Linked DNA regions of Mus musculus. The protein of the gene in region 1 interacts with the protein of each later gene in a pairwise test. Links are inferred from orthologs where the notes say so. Each region holds a gene or a part of one and is shown on either strand. Other genes may lie near its edges.

Region 1 (3,299 bases):
CTCCTGGAGTGTGCTCCTTGAGTTGATACTGCCGTGCTCAAAATCAGTTATAAGGAGCATAAGATGGGGCAACAGAGCGCCAGCTCTCGAGACCTGTCTAGGAGCAGTCAGGGCAGATGATTGCCACTTACCATCATGAGGGATGCTTTAACTGTCGATTCCTGCTCGTTAACTTGGAGAAAGGAAAAGCACTTTGGGTTGACAGAAGTAGGATGAAAATTTAGGTCTGTTAACAAAAGAAAAAAAAAGGTCCTGGTGAAGTTTACACTGCAAGTTTTGTTTGCAGATAGTTGGGTCTTAGGACTCTTGCTTTTTTTAGTCCTGGACCAAATCAAATCCAGAAGAATGTCTATGACTTATGTGAGAATAATATGGCTGTTGTCTGTGAGATGGTCTCTACTCTGAAATTTGTATTCTACTTTTCTTTACAGTACTCTCAAAAAGAAGACAAGTATGAAGAAGAAATAAAGATTCTTACTGATAAACTCAAGGAGGTGAGCTGAGGGGCTGAGCCGCATGAACGATAGGAGGCGTTAATATTGTAATATTAATCCTGAGCCTTGCTGGCCTTGGCTCAAATGGCTTAGAGGCACGAGAGGAGGAAGTAACCATCTTTCATTCTGTTTGTTGTTGTGCTTCCTCAGGCAGAGACCCGTGCTGAGTTTGCTGAAAGATCGGTAGCCAAGCTGGAGAAGACCATTGATGACCTGGAAGGTATGGAGCACATGAGGGCGTGTGAGAAAGGAAGGCCTTGCCCGCTAATCTTGAGCCTTTGGTCTGTGCATCAGAGAAATGGTAGTGACTTGGAATATTGGATGCGTCCTGTCCTGTGTTAATGCTAGACTTGCAGGATTTTTAAATCTTTTCCTTTATAGTAAGTCTACTTATTTCTGGAATCTGCCATCCATCCTTTGAAAAGATGTAATGGCTGTATTTATCTCCAATTTGATCTCAGATATCTTAAATCTTGACTGTGAGTTGAAATGGAAGCCATGGTTTTGTGCATGCCACCCCATGGCCACTTTGGGTATCTCTTTTTATCATTCAGGCCGGGTGACACCTGCAGGAGATAACAACCAAGTCTTGCAGCCTGAACAGATCAAACAGTCAGGGCTTCTTGTTCTTGTAGTTTGGCAGCTTTGTCTGTCCACCTTAACAAAGAAACAAGTCCTTTGCTTTGAGACTAACTTCCTTGATACGCTCTTGGTGTTGGATGGTCTGGGAAAGGGTTCGGGGAGGCGGCCGTAGAACCGGAGTGGTGACCACCCTGAGTAGGCAGAGGAGAGTCACTAAGACTGCTGTGCCTTCTCCCTTCTCTGTCTTCCTTAAGTGTTAGCACTGCTTCAGAATTGGGTGGGAGAGGTGGCTTTGGGTGCCTGCAGTGCTGGCATGTGTTCAGGTTCTCAGTTCTTGCCGCAGTTGACTTGACGAGACATCAGGAAGTACGATTAGCTGTTGGGGAAAGAGGTCGGTCATGGCTGCCAGGATAGTTTTTATGTTTTTTTCCAGAATAGTTTGTTTTTCCTTCCTGGATTTAGACCTATGGTCACAGTTTTCCTATTTTCTAATGACTCCCTCTCTTCATCTGCTTCTGACACCTTTCACTTTATCCCCTCCATCATCCCTGTGGTTCCTGTGCCTGTCCAGACGAGCTCTATGCCCAGAAACTGAAGTACAAGGCCATTAGCGACGAGCTGGACCACGCCCTCAATGACATGACCTCTATGTAACTATCAGGCAGCAGCGTGGGGTTGGAATCCTGGCGGGTGGGTGAAGACTGTGCTTGGGTTTTGTCCTTGAATCTGCAGTCTCCACCCACTTGCAAACAAATGTTGGTGCTGGTTATCTGTTTGGGGAGCCTTTTAATCTTCATGTAATTTGTATTTTCTCTTATTCTCCCATCTAGTTCTAACAGGGTCTTATATAAGCCATATCGACCTTAGACTCCAACCTCTAAAGTGACAGCCACGTGCCACTGTGCCCAGCTCTCCTTCTCACTGAGTTCTCACTTTGGTTTCTCAAAACTAGGCAGGGTGACACACAGCTGTAAGCCAAGCCACCTAGATGCTAACACAGAAGGATTGGTGCAGGTTCAAGGCCAGCTGATGCTGGGTGGCAAGACTGAGTCTCAAAAGCAAAACAGAGCAGTCATGGTGGCGTTCACCTTTAGTCCTGGCGTGAGTGGTTGGATTTCTAGAATTCGAGGCCATCTTGGACTAAATGATGAATTCCAGGACTGCTAGGGTTATGTGTAGAGGTTCTGATTTGTGCCCTGATACTAAACTTAATGGGACATACCCAGGGTGAGAAGCAGCCAGTTTTGAGCTGAGTCCCAAAGCAAGCCAAGCAGTAAACAGCACCAAAAGATTTGGGGGACTTTACCTGTTTGCTGTGGATCTGTTGGTGCTAACCTGCAGCGTCTTCCCACTAACCCTGGGAGAGTGTTGCAGCCCGTGCGTGTGTCTGGCTTTCTCTCCTCCTGCTCTGTCGCTCTTGTTCCTTCTTCCTAAGCTGCTGCCTCAGTTGAGCCCGCCCTTCTCACCTGGAGTGTCCTTTTTCATACAGATAAACTGTCACCGTTTCTGCCCTGTTCTGGATCTGCCCCCTTTCCTTGGGGAACCCAACACCCCACTCGCTCTGGATTCCATTTGGGTCAGCCTGGCTGGTTCCTACAGCCTTAGGGCTGGAGGGCCTTGGGGGGGGGCACACAAAGCAATTTACATATTTGCTTTCCAACCCCATATTAAAATGTTAAGCTGCCAGAAGCCTCACGGCCTCTTGCATTTGTGTTATTGACAAAGTTGTTGGTGTACATAAGAAGGAGTCCTGCCAGTGTGATGTGGGGACAGCTGTATTAGGCTTCCCCTCTTCCAACTTCTGTATGATCAAAGCTACTTTGTGTGTGTGTTTTTCTTGACACTTAAACTTGCTGATTGGAGTCTTGTCCGAGTGACCAGTAAAGGCTTCTCATGGTGGGAAGTCTGGTGCTATTCCTCAAACCTTACTGAGGAGTTCTTACATAGCCCACCTGGACATTTTCATTCTTTTAGCCCCTCTCCCGTACAGTAAGGTCAGTGACCATTGATTTAGCTCCTATCACTCTGCCCTTTTGCCCAAGACTCAGAAACTACATCCTCGGACCCATCCTTACAGTTAAGTGATCATCCCAACTCACAGAGGAAGGTGTAACATGGCGGGTTGGATTCTTGATAGATAGGTGTTTCATCTTTAAGCCTTTCTCATTTCTCGCTCACTCGAGGCTGCTGCCATTGTCCTCTATAGGACGCACACGGCAAATG
Region 2 (3,819 bases), on another chromosome or scaffold:
ATTACCATGAGTTCGAGAGACTGTCTCAAAAAGGACAATTAAATAAAAGAAACTATCCTTATTTCGTTCGTCTACTGGTGGAGGGACAACTTGTGGGAGGGGATAGCCTCCAAGAACCCCCACATTCCCTGCCCCAATCTTCCCCTTAATACCCCTAGGAGAGGCGACGCGCAGAGAGAGCTGAGCAACAGCGCTTCAGAACGGAAAAGGAGCGAGAACGCCAGGCCAAGCTGGCGGTAGGTGTCTGTCCTTTCCCTATAGGAGAATACTTTATTTCCCATTTTGATACTCTCTACGGTTCTCAGAAAGTCCCTGTAATGTCTAGCATAAGGATTTTCCTATTGGAAGGGTGAACAGTGCATATAAATAAAAAGTCTGCGGCTGATCTAGCTTCAGGCAGGGCTGGACTAAGAGACTTAAGCCACAGCACAAAGGCTGAGCTTTGCTGGGTATGATGGCCTCAGACCTATGATCCCAGTACAGGAGAAGCCGAGGCAGGAGGATTTTGTGAATTTGAGGCTAGCCTGAACTATATACCAAGTTAAGGAGTGGCTCTCTCCGTGGCTCCAACTTCACTTATGGAGATGCTAAGCCATCAACTACCCAGGCTAGGCTCTTCCTCCATCAGGTATGTAAGGCCACATGTCGTGGACCCCTTTGTTCTCACAGGAGGAGAAGATGCGGAAGGAGGAGGAGGAGGCAAAGAAGAGAGCAGAGGATGACGCCAAGAAGAAGAAAGTTCTGTCCAACATGGGAGCTCATTTTGGGGGCTACCTGGTCAAGGTGAGTCTAGCCTGTGGAAATCTGCGTCTACAAGGAGGGAAGGGAAACTTGAGGGTGCTGGACCTCATCCAGGGCCAGCTGTCACTGTAGATAGCATGCGGCAAGTAGGTGAGGGAGACACTCTGCTGATTGTCTCTGTCCCTCTTCCGGCCACAATGTTCCTCTGGTGGTGCCTGGGTGTGAGGGAAGAAGACCGGGGCCTGTACGCTTGAGGGAGGGGGCACGGAATTTGAGTTCCTGAGTCTGAGGAGAGAGGGCTGGAGCCTGGAGCTCTGGGACTGAGGGAGGAGGAGGCTGAGGCTGGACCCCTGAGTGTCTGAAGGGGGAGGGCTGAGATGTACTCCTTGCATGTGGTGGAGGCACTGGCCTTGCTGAGTGGATTTAGCCTCCAGGTTCTATCCCTGGCTTGGGATTCCTCCCACTCCAGGCAGAACAGAAGCGTGGGAAGCGACAGACTGGTCGGGAGATGAAACTCCGGATTCTGTCTGAGAGGAAAAAGCCCTTGAACATCGACTACATGGGGGAGGACCAGCTCCGGTAGGTCCTGGCAGCTCTCAAAAGGCTTCCACGGGCGATACTCCGGGTCTGAGCCTTGGTGCTGTGTTACTTCAGGCAATTGGCACTCCTTTTTCTGGGCCACTGTTGCTTTCTATGTTCAAAATGTCACTCAAATGCAAGCTACCCGGTGGATGGCCTGGCCTGTAGTGTCTGGCATCCACAGTGCCCCCTTCCGTATTTAGGTGGAATTGCAGCATTCAGGGAGGAGGTAGGAGGATCAATTCAGGGTCATCCTCTACTGTATATTGAGCTGGAGGCCAGACTTCACACACACACACACACACACACACACGCACGCACGCACGCACGCACGCACGCACGCACGCACGTACGTACGCACGCACACACACACACACACGCGCGCGCGCGCACACACACACACACGCACGCACACACACACGCACACACACACACGCACACACACACGCACACGCACGCACACACACACACACACGCGCACACACACACACGCACACACACACGCACACGCACGCGCGCGCGCACACACGCACGCGCGCACGCGCACACACACACACACACACACACACACACACACACACACACACACACACGCACGCACGCACTATGTAAGTAATAAAAACCAAACGGCTTTCACTCTGGGGCTCATAGCCATTACTTCCGGAGACTTCCATTTAGGAACTTCTGTTTCAGAAAGTGGTCACACATTTGAAAACCTTTTGTGGGCAATTTAGCAAGAGTGTAGCGACTATACCAATCCCAAAGAGACTTGCTGCATGGCTTGGGGTAAGTGGCTCGACCTCTCTGGACTCAGAGGGCAGCCTGGATCTTGCTGCATCCTGGTCCTTCTCGACCTGCTAGGGAAAAGGCCCAGGAGCTGTCAGAATGGATCCACCAGCTGGAATCAGAAAAATTTGACCTGATGGAGAAGTTGAAGCAACAGAAATATGAGGTGAGACCTACCTGCCTCTGTTGGGGCCCAGGCTGGGTGACAGGTGTGGCAGGTGGCCCTGGTTGGACATCTACCTAGCCTGGTCTCCTGCTCCACAGATCAATGTGCTCTACAACCGCATCAGCCACGCCCAGAAATTGTGAGTGCCACTCCCAACCTCCACAGACGGCTCCTTCTGTTCCCTCCCTCCCTCCCTCCCTCCCTCCCTCCCTCCCTCCCTCCCTCCCTCCCTCCCTCCCTCCCTCCCTCCCTCCCTCCTTCGGCTGCTTCTGCATACCACTGCCCTTTTGGCACCTCCTGTCTGTTTCCTGAGACATCCTATCCGTATCTGTTCTTGTGGGTTTATTTATTGGCTTTTTTTGTCTGTTTAATTTGCTTATTATTTCAAGGCAAAGTCTGTTTTGTTTGGTTTGGTTTGGTTTGGTTTTTCGAGACAGGGTTTTCTCTGTATAGTCCTGGCTGTCCTGGAACTCACTCTGTAAAGCAGGCTGGCCTCGAACTCAGAAATCTGCCTGCCTCTGTCTCCCAAGTGCTGGGATTAAAGGAGTGTGCCACCACTGCCCGCTCAAGACAAAGTCTTACTTGGTAGTTCAGGCTGGCTTAGAACTCACTGTGTAGCCCAGGCTGGCTTTGAATGTGTAAGCAGATCTTTTTGTCTCAAACCAGTGGAATGCTGGGATAGTTGATGTGACTTACCTACCATTCCTGGTTTTTTGTTGGACTGCTTATTTATTTTTAAGTCAAGGTTTCACATAGCCCAGACTCACTAGGAAGCTGAGGCTGGCCTTGAACTACTGATCCTCTGGATTCAGCCTCAGGAGGGCTGGGGTTATTGGCCTGCACTACAGTCTTTTGCTTTTCTTTATCAGCTCTTAGGTTTCAGTCTCACTCCCGGTCTGTATTCCTCCAATTCTTTTCTGAGTACATATTATTTTACACCATTTTTTGCATCATGTTTACATGCACACAGTGTGTACATGTGTATGTGTGTTTGTGTATGGGTGTATGTGTAGGTATGTATATGTATATGGGTGTATGAGTGTGTTCGGGTATGACTGTGTGTGTGTGTGTGTATGGGTGTATGTGTAGGTGTGTATATGTATATGGGTGTATGAGTGTGTTCGGGTATGACTGTGTGTGTGTGTGTATGGGTGTATGTGTAGGTGTGTATATGTATATGGGTGTATGAGTGTGTTCGGGTATGACTGTGTGTGTGTGTGTGTGTGTGTGTATGGGTGTATGTGTAGGTGTGTATATGTATATGGGTGTATGAGTGTGTTCGGGTATGACTGTGTGTGTGTGTGTATGGGTGTATGTGTAGGTGTGTATATGTATATGGGTGTATGAGTGTGTTCGGGTATGACTGTGTGTGTGTGTGTGCCCACAGAGACCAGACGTTTGTATCCACTGGAGCTAAATTACAGGCAGTTGTGCACCATACAACATGTGGAGTGTGCTCAGGAGACTTGGAAGACTTGGTTTCTTCTTCCTTGTGGTCCCAGGGATAAGGCTCAGATCTTAGGTTTGGCTGCAAGCACCTTTACCTG

The links.
Region 2: the proteins of Tpm3 (region 1) and Tnnt1 interact in binary tests that used the Homo sapiens proteins (3 or more experiments, as listed by UniProt). The two-hybrid records come from large-scale screens. The link is inferred for Mus musculus from reciprocal best matches to the Homo sapiens genes TPM3 and TNNT1.

The regions. Positions count from the first base shown.
Region 1 is NC_000069.6:90,089,366-90,092,664, forward strand, and holds the end of Tpm3 (tropomyosin alpha-3 chain), read left to right. Parts: intron 1-431; coding exon 432-494; intron 495-644; coding exon 645-714; intron 715-1,647; coding exon 1,648-1,726; coding exon of another isoform or gene 1,727-1,730; intron 1,731-2,565; coding exon 2,566-2,569; 3' UTR 2,570-2,765; downstream 2,766-3,299. UniProt on the Homo sapiens protein: Binds to actin filaments in muscle and non-muscle cells. Plays a central role, in association with the troponin complex, in the calcium dependent regulation of vertebrate striated muscle contraction.
Region 2 is NC_000073.6:4,505,975-4,509,793, reverse strand, and holds part of Tnnt1 (troponin T, slow skeletal muscle), read left to right. Parts: intron 1-158; coding exon 159-236; intron 237-669; coding exon 670-783; intron 784-1,210; coding exon 1,211-1,320; intron 1,321-2,181; coding exon 2,182-2,272; intron 2,273-2,370; coding exon 2,371-2,411; intron 2,412-3,819. UniProt on the Homo sapiens protein: Troponin T is the tropomyosin-binding subunit of troponin, the thin filament regulatory complex which confers calcium-sensitivity to striated muscle actomyosin ATPase activity.